Linked DNA regions of Solanum lycopersicum. The main gene of each other region encodes a partner of the protein of the gene in region 2 in a complex. Links are inferred from orthologs where the notes say so. Each region holds a gene or a part of one and is shown on either strand. Other genes may lie near its edges. The genes, in order: NADH dehydrogenase [ubiquinone] iron-sulfur protein 7, mitochondrial; NAD(P)-binding Rossmann-fold superfamily protein.

What was found.
Region 1: the proteins of NAD(P)-binding Rossmann-fold superfamily protein (region 2) and NADH dehydrogenase [ubiquinone] iron-sulfur protein 7, mitochondrial are in contact, whole or in part, in a cryo-EM structure (PDB 8BEE), measured with the Arabidopsis thaliana proteins. The link is inferred for Solanum lycopersicum from reciprocal best matches to the Arabidopsis thaliana genes AT2G20360 and AT5G11770. Residues at the interface, in NP_565469.1 of Arabidopsis thaliana: Arg100, Gly101, Ser102, Glu103, Asp104, Arg107, Lys110, Leu111, Lys122, Thr151, Arg152, Asn153, Phe154, Pro330, Phe331, Pro332; in NP_196738.1 of Arabidopsis thaliana: Arg140, Glu148, Arg150, Trp151, Asp176, Arg177, Ile178, Val179, Pro180, Val181, Asp182, Lys205, Arg208, Arg209, His214, Trp215, Trp216, Asn217, Lys218.

The regions. Positions count from the first base shown.
Region 1 is NC_090810.1:60,011,207-60,015,637, reverse strand, and holds the start of NADH dehydrogenase [ubiquinone] iron-sulfur protein 7, mitochondrial, read right to left. Parts: upstream 3,027-4,431; 5' UTR 2,330-3,026; coding exon 1,923-2,329; intron 1-1,922. Other genes in the region: uncharacterized protein, read left to right, coding at 4,307-4,431. UniProt on the Arabidopsis thaliana protein: Core subunit of the mitochondrial membrane respiratory chain NADH dehydrogenase (Complex I) that is believed to belong to the minimal assembly required for catalysis. Complex I functions in the transfer of electrons from NADH to the respiratory chain.
Region 2 is NC_090808.1:58,530,688-58,535,203, forward strand, and holds the start of NAD(P)-binding Rossmann-fold superfamily protein, read left to right. Parts: upstream 1-1,636; 5' UTR 1,637-1,790; coding exon 1,791-1,890; intron 1,891-2,006; coding exon 2,007-2,103; intron 2,104-2,614; coding exon 2,615-2,679; intron 2,680-2,785; coding exon 2,786-2,871; intron 2,872-3,034; coding exon 3,035-3,119; intron 3,120-3,198; coding exon 3,199-3,269; intron 3,270-4,516. UniProt on the Arabidopsis thaliana protein: Accessory subunit of the mitochondrial membrane respiratory chain NADH dehydrogenase (Complex I), that is believed not to be involved in catalysis. Complex I functions in the transfer of electrons from NADH to the respiratory chain.

The DNA.
Region 1 (4,431 bases), on a different chromosome or scaffold from region 2:
TGTTGGCCGGTCGACAACACCCATATTCAAAAGATGCAAGTAGCATATGTGGACGTTCAGATGGATGTGTGGGCATATTAGGGAAATAAGATTAGGAATGAGGATGTCTAAGACAATGTGGGAGTGGCCTCCATGGCGCACAAAGAGAAAAGCAAGGTTGAGATGCATTGGACCTAAGAAAAGAAAGATGCGGAAACGCCCTAGTAAAAAGGTGTGAGAGGTTGGATATAATAGATATGAAGAGAAGTAGAGGTAGATCGAAAAAGTATAAAGAGGTGATTAGACAAGACATCACACAACTTCAACTTACCAATGACATGACCTTAAATAGAAGGGTATGAAGGTCATAAAAGGTCAGTAGGTAGTTGAGTTCTATCTCGCTTTTCAACAGAATTAGACTTGATGGAAGTATGGTAGCGCGTGTTTCTCGTAGTACTAGTCATAGACATGTAATCTCTTGCTTTTGCTATTTGCTACCCTCTCTTGTCTATTATGTTTAAATTACCGCATTATATGATCGTTGTTATTGTCCTTTTTGTTGAATGCTTTCCTTATCAATTAAATGTTTTCCTCACTATCGTATTTCTTTTCATAACAACTTTCATTTGTTGCTCTTGAGCCATTGAGCCAAAGATCTTTAGGAAACAACTTCTCTACCTCGTGGGTGAAATTTGCATACACTCTACCTCTCCAAACTCCACTTGTAGGACTGCACTGGGTATGTTTTTGTTGTTAACTAAATACCAACAAAAACTAAAGAGTTAAGGAAATAAACAATCCAAAGAATATATACATGTCTTTTTAATCAATATGAATAATCAAATGACTATTTTAGCTGACCATTGCAAAAACAAAAAGACACCACTACTGGGTGGGCAGGCTATAGTCATTACTCATTACACCAAACACAAAAGATGTTGCTAATATTTATGTGCAATTGCCCGTCTTCATTATGTTGAATGGTTACAAAAACAACAATATACCTAATGTAATCCCATATGTAGGGTCTGAAGCTTTATTGGATGCTATCTATAAAACAATCTCCGAATTTCTTAATCCGATAATAAATACGCAACTTCCTTGGTACAAAAATCAAAATGCTCGCCCCTTTGATACCTTATTTAACCAACAAGAATTTAAAATAGGGGAAGACTCATTTTCGATAATTGACATGAACACTCATTAAAAGACGAGCGATGATTTCAACATTTTTGTGTGTTGAAAAATCGGATACAAATTCTTAAGTATGTTCTCACAAAAAATCCACATGTTCTTTAATCAGGGTTCCTAGAACGTTAACAGCAAAACTTTAAAGAAACCTGGCAAGCCACATGTTGCGTTATATCATATACAAGATTATTCTGATTGTCATCCCACTGGGTGATGATCTATTCTGCTCCTGTGAGCTATGTTCATTCTGAGTCCTACTAAAACATTCTACCAATATCATTCAAAGCATGACAAAGTTTCCTCTACATCTCACGTTATTACCTTATACATTATAGCTACAATGCTCGAGAACCTCGTTTTTCTATTACTACACCAAAATCCACCACTCCACCAAAAGACGAGTTTTAAATAACACTATGCCAACCTTCATACCAAAGGGAAGAGTGGGAGACTATGCCAGAGAAGAAACCAACATCCAAATAATCAGATTAAATGAAGCGAATTGGAAAATCTCATGCTATCCTCAATTTGTTGCACTTGATGGAAACATAGCAATAGAGAAGAACGAAACAGGTTTTCATGAAACCAATCGATTGATATTACAAAAATACAATCAGATTTCCCTAAATGCGCTTATATCAAATCCAATTCTACAGGAAAAATAGGATCCAAATATAGACAAACATATGCTTCGTAAACAGATGTATGGGATAAACGTTAAAAGAGGATTAACTGTTAGAATGTATACATACTTGCGAAGAGCAGGGGCCATTTTGTTGGTAAGTGTACCAGCAACAATCATAACATCAGATTGCCTAGGGCTAGGTCTGAAAATAATACCGAATCGATCAAAATCGTAACGTGCAGCTCCGGCGTGCATCATTTCCACAGCGCAACAAGCCAATCCAAAAGTCATGGGCCATATGGACCCACGACGAGCCCAATTCATCAGATCGTCCACCTTAGATATAACATACTCAGCCGGTTTAGATATCCCTGCTGGTGTATTCATGGACGGAGGCTGTGCGCCACCGTAAGTGGCCGGAGAAGAGGCAGGTTGCTGCGAGAGAGATGGAAGTGTCGTGTGGATCGTCGCCGCCCTTTGAAGGAACGGCGCCGTTCCTGTGAGTAGTTTCGCATTTCGAGCTATAAACGCCATTTCTTATTCTCCGGTGAAACTCCGGCTTCTGGAGAATTCCAAAGAGAAGAACAATGAAAGAGGCGGCGATTGGTCTGAGAAATACATACACAGTATTAATTTATTGAATAATACAGATCGGGACACGTGGAACTGATCCAACGGTTACCAGTGGATATGGATACCCGGTTGTAGATGGATATAACCCGGTCTATTGATACTTTGGGCTTGAGAGATATTATACTTTGGGCTTGAGAGATATTTTCCATTGGGCTTCATATTTGGGCCCTTACCTAATTTTTGCAAAAAGAATTGACATAAATAATCGTCCATCGAAGACATTATTAGATAAGATATGACATAATTTTAGAGGATTGAGGATATAATCTTATACAAGAAGGTAATGAGGTCGAGAATAAGGATAGAAGATTAACTGATAGTGCAGTTTTCTCGTAATGGTCGTAGTAGATGTATCGGGTAGTTTCTTTTTTACCTTTTCCTACTTATTATTGTTATAATCTTTTTCATTTGATTTGAATCGAGAGTCTACAAGAAAACAACCTCTCCTTTCTTTTAAGTAAAATATAAAATATGTGTATACACTACCTTCTTCGAGCCTCACTCGTTGGAATGCATTTGATATGGTATTGCTGTAATTTATTTTTCTTCAAATGTGTAGTAATATATATGTTGTTGGACTTACTTTGTACATTGATGTTTTGTTGTCTCTTTTTTTTTTTTCACTTTTTATGCATTAGTTACTTTTCTTTGAGTAAATAATCTAATTGAATATAAACTTAATCCTACAAAATAGAGTTAAGATTGTACTTTCTTTCTATTTTGTCTAAGTCAGAGTCGGAATTGAAGTTTTAAATTAGACCCCAAATCGAGATTAGAGTTGGGATTTCCAATCTATTAAGGTTTTATATTTGGGCCTTCATTTGATAATTATTGGGTTAGAAAGAGTTTGATTATAAATTTTAGTTTGTAAATAATTTTAAGATTCTCGTTCGGAGTAAAATTTATAAATAGATGTAGTTATGTGATTGTATACATACAATTTCATTGGAATCTATGTATTCTATATACTAGTTATATGATTGTATACATTCTTTTGTTTTGATTGTATTTCAACGAATTAATTATTGTAATTGTTGATACAATTGTGTGCATCGAAGTCTATTTCTAATACGTGAATATTGTATGCACCACATTTGTTTTAGAAATAGACTTCTGATACATATATTTACATTTTGCTTGTAGATATATATATGATACATTCGATTATATAAGTAATCAATTTTACTTTTTATATTTGACCATATATGACAATTGAATCATAACCATTGATTAAGAGTATGTATCATAAGTTTGTTTCTCATATGAACGTCGAAATTCTTCATTCACACATAAATTCAAAAAAATTTTATAAAAAACTTAGATAATTTTGAACTTTTTCGCTTAAAAACTCGTTAAATCGATAACTCAATGTATATGATCATGTTGTATACAATATATACAAACGTTCAATTAACTATATCAATATATACAGTTTAAGATTTCACAATTATAAAATTACTTCGACATCAAATATTAAAGTAAAAACACACTATACACATAATGTTTTTACCAGCTCAAACATGTACACGAGATTTACACAAAATCTACTCTATCTTATATTCCCCAAATACAAATAAAATATATTATTACGATACTAAAATAAACTTAAAAAGTGTTTGAATTAGCTTCTTAAAACTAGCTTTAGAAGCTAAAAAGAATCACTTTTGTCATTTTAAACTTAAAAATACTTTTCGTCTTTTCAAAAAAAATATTTAAAATAATTCAATCTAAAACACACTAAATTAAATAATATTCTTAAAAAAAAAAGGAGGAAAAGTTAGATTCTTTCTCCCTAAGTTGCAAACTTTATTCAGTATAATCAACAAGCAATCCATCTCTCTTCTTCATTATCATCAATTCCAATACATTTGATTGATTATGGCAGATAAGCCTAGCAGAGCACTGGTATTGTACGGTGACGGGTTAGCCCGATCCATTGACCCGTCTCATACCCACCTCCATTCTTTTACTTCTCGAGCTTGCTGTGGCTTTTTGTCTCTTCC
Region 2 (4,516 bases):
AATTAAATCACTTGAAAATTACAACAACAAATACCACGAACACAATAAATAATAATATACACAATATCTTCAATTTCGTCACTTTTGCTTTCAAATTTCTTGATTTGTTCACCTCAAAGTAGTTAAAACTCTCTAAATTCTCCATTTTTTTAAAAAAAAAATTATCTCTTTCAATATTAGTCGCATTCAATAACTCTCAAATTTTCCATTTTCAATGTAGCAACTTTCAATTTAGACTTCAATAAATTTACTTCAATAAAAGAATTTCCCGGAGAACTATCTTTCTCCTTCTAAAATTCATATTTGTCAATAAAAATATAGAAGAACTCATAATCATATGAAATACAAACAGAAATCTCACAAATTAACATTTGGTGAAAATGTACCTTAGGTTTAGAACATTTATAAAATCTTCTTTCGGATTTCATTGAAGTCTTTGAAGTGAAATAACAAGCCATTTCACCAAAAATAAGTCATCATCATGGAGTTACTAATTGAACCACAACTACTTTCAAATATGGTTTTAGGTCTAATTGAAGGGAAACGACGAATCGATGAGAATCAACTAAGAAAAGTCGACGAACAAACAATGCAAACAACGAAGAATCTCTAATGAACTAGGGTTTTAGTTTTTGAGATGAACGAAAGATTTGAGAGGAGATTTTTTGATAGTATTTGTGTTGTGTGAGTAATAGATAAATTGGGTAATTGACGGGTATTTGAATTTTGGGTTAAATAATTGGTTAAACCAGATAGAGTCGTAGTATTGCGCCACTTGTAACAAATAAGTCTTTCGTTACTGGATGGGCATATATGCACGAGTTATTTAACGATAAGTGCACTAATAAACGAAAAATATGAAGGAGAGTATTAATATACTATTAACAATAATTCCGGTAAATTTGTCCTTTTCCCAACATATATTAAAAGAAATTATGAAGAAATTAAAAAGAGCATTTTTCACATATAGCAAACATAAAAATTATATTTGTAGGCTATAGTTATAGTTTGTATAATTGTGCACATAGTAAACATAAATATGTATATTTCGCTATACATATACAAAAGAAGACAATTGTAGATAATCTATTTCTGTTTCGGTATACATATACAAAAGATCAATTGTATAATATGTGTTAGTATAAAGCGAGAAAGAGAGCAAGACAAAAGAGAATTGAGTAGGAAAATATTTGCATTGTATAATATAAGTGTATAGGACGAAGATGTATGTATTTGCATGTGTATATATATACAATTTTCTCTTGCTTTATACAAACAGAAACACAATTTATACATTTTTGTTTGTATAAGTGAGAGAGAAGAGCGAGCTCTGAGAGAGTAACGAGCGAAATTCTGAGAGAGGGGAACGAAAATATATGTATATATACAATTTTCTCTAGCTCTATAAAACACAAACACGTTTTATACATTTGCGTTTGTATAAAAAACGAGAGAGACGAGTGAGAGAATGAGAATGACGAGTGAGATTCACCTAAAGAGACAAACTATTAACCATTTACTATGAGATACAATTAAACTAAACTATATTTATAACATTTAATTTAAAATAATTATTTGGTATTATATACGATTTGCTAAGAAAAAAAGGCAAATTGAAAGGGAAGTAGTATTAGAAATGAGGTTCACCCAATTACTAGAATAGAGTTGACAAGTTAATACGTATTTTACTTCAGCCAGTGCATCTATTTTTCCCCCAATTCCCTTAACAGCGCCGATATCAATCAATCTTCTCCCATTCTCTGTGAGCTCGAGCTCCGCTGAGAACGAAGATGCAGGCCATCACGAGAAAACTAGGGCACCAATCTTTGAAACATCATTCGCCTGCCATTTCATCATTCAAGTCTCTCTATCCTCTTTCTGATGATCACTGTATGTAGCTTATGCATTTCTAGGGCAACTCAAGTTTTTTTCCTTTTCCTCCTCTACAATGTCGTGATCTCTTATCGGATTGTGTTCTTATTTTGTTTATGTTTTTGTTATTTCAGACTATGGTTATCTTACTCCGCGCTACGCATCTAACCTTGCCACCGGGGGTGCGGGACCTCTAATTCGTAAGGGAACTGGAGGAAGATCATCCGTTAGGTAAATAAATTTGTTTTGAAAATCTTGTTCACAGTCGTGTAAGATGGTACCCAACTCGTTGAGATAATGGTTTGGTTAAATTGGTAAGTTTTCGAATTAGGTTTTGAATTTGCCAATGTTGGGATTTGATCTCTAGATTAAGAGAACTCTTTATATTAGAAGTCAAATGATTAGTAACTGGAATAAAATGGGCCTGGATAGAGCAAAATGAGTAGAGAGATTTTATATAGCTGCCTAACTAGTTTGGGATTGAGGGTAGGGTGATAATTGTTTAATCTTGTACTGTTCCACTAAATTTGATATGTCATTTGCGTTTCTTAATACTGTGTGAGTGTAATTCAAAGTTGTGTTCTTTTGCTTATTGGTTGGCCTGGTGCTTCTGGTGCTCTTTATTTTAAATATCTACATGACGAGTCATAGATTTTGTTCATTTTTTGTTTCTTTTTTATGTGTGCAACTTGAATTATGTATTTTTTGAATTTATATGGTTTTTGAATCTGTTGTTTGTCAGTGGAATCGTCGCTACAGTCTTTGGAGCTACTGGATTTCTGGGGCGTTATGTTGTACAACAGCTTGGTAACGTTCTAATGACCTTCTCCTTTTTCCTGTACTTACTATACCAACAAAGTTAAAGAATTTTTGAGGTAAATGGTACTTGTTTTCTGTTATTTGGGGATCTCAGCTAAAATGGGCAGTCAAGTCTTGGTTCCTTTCCGTGGATCTGAGGATTCTCCTCGTCATCTTAAGTTGATGGGTGACTTAGGACAGGTATGTTAACAGCTGTGCTCCCCTAGTCAAACTTACTTTACTTTTGTGATCTGATTTATTGTTATCTTCTGATGTCTTTGAGCTTCTCTTAAACAAAGACATGAGTTATGAAAGCATTCTCATTTTTATAGGGGTACTACCTCTCTTTGTTTATTTTGCCTAGATTGTTCCTATGAAATACAATCCCCGGGATGAAAATTCAGTTAAGGCAGTGATGGCTAAAGCTAATGTTGTGATCAATCTCATTGGTATGCCTTCTACCATTTTTAATCAGTGATCCATAAAGATATCTTTACAACTATTGTCGGTAAACTTTCTGGTTTCCAGGAAGGGATTATGAGACGAGAAATTACAGCTTTGATGAAGTCAACCTCCATATAGCTGAACAGCTTGCAATGGTAGGTTCTGCTGTTATATTGCCTTTTGCTTTACCTAGATTAGTTAAATATAAACTGAAATAATCTGTCTCAATCTTGAAGTTCAAAAAGAAAAAGCTTTGTCTCAATCTTGATATTTCATCCAGTGCATTATTGGGGTTATTCTGTTTCTTTTCTTTTGATAATTAAGATGTTGTCCAATGTGTCAACTTGTGATTTACGATACTGAGGACAATCTAAAGTTAATACATAAACTTATTACAACTCATTCTGTGGTTTTCTGAGGATTGTATCATATGTGTTTCTCTTTATTGAACATGTGGTTCTCAGTGTTGTTTATCTTAACCATTATTCTCAGTGTTGTTTATCTTACCCTTTTATTCTCAGTGCTGTTTATCTTAGCCTGAGTTTTGGTTTCACTTGGAGAGCCCTACCAACTTTTTGTATGTCATTGTGCATATAACTGATTCAAAAAGATAAACTTCCGTGTGAATGAATGTGCAGACTGAGAGTGCATTTACCTATCTGCCTTTTTTTGCTAGTTTGTGCAAAATGAGACTTCTTTCAACCTAGATAAGAACATGAATTTTCATTTAGTTACATTTAATTGGTGGGATTTGCATCATAGGAGTATTCTGGGGATGATAAGAGTGATTGTGATATAAGCTTTGCCTAGGGGCCAATGAAGTTGGTTGAGAACCATTTGGTCTCAAGTTCAAATCTTGGCAGTAGCAGAAGTGCATAAACACTTGGTGATTTCTTCCAATATGTCCAAGTCTTGGTGGATAGAGTTACCTAATACCTATGTCCTATAGGAGGTAGCAGGTACACCATGCAATCGGTTGAGGTGCTCGCAAGCTGCCGAGATACTCCAGTTACACTACCATTTCATGAAAACAATTTTTTGGTATTATCCTTTCATAAAAGAAACTAAAAACAATCTGTAAGATATGTATACAGAAAATTTGTTGATTATTTTATTTCAACTGGAATAAGAGTTCCCTCTATCCACTTTATCCCTCTATCCTGATTCCTGTCTATCAAGTTGACAATATTCAATCCAGTGTTTTGGACGGCGAGAGGCGACAAAAGGCGACAAGGGCCTGCCTCGCCACGCGGCGAGGCGAGCGGCGAGGCGCTTGCCTTTTTGAATTAAGGCGCCAATTAATACCAAAGATTAAAAATATTTAATTGCATATATAAATATCCAAAATCTTAATAGTAGTAACACATATTAGCAAATATTCAATTCAAAAACCAATAGTAGT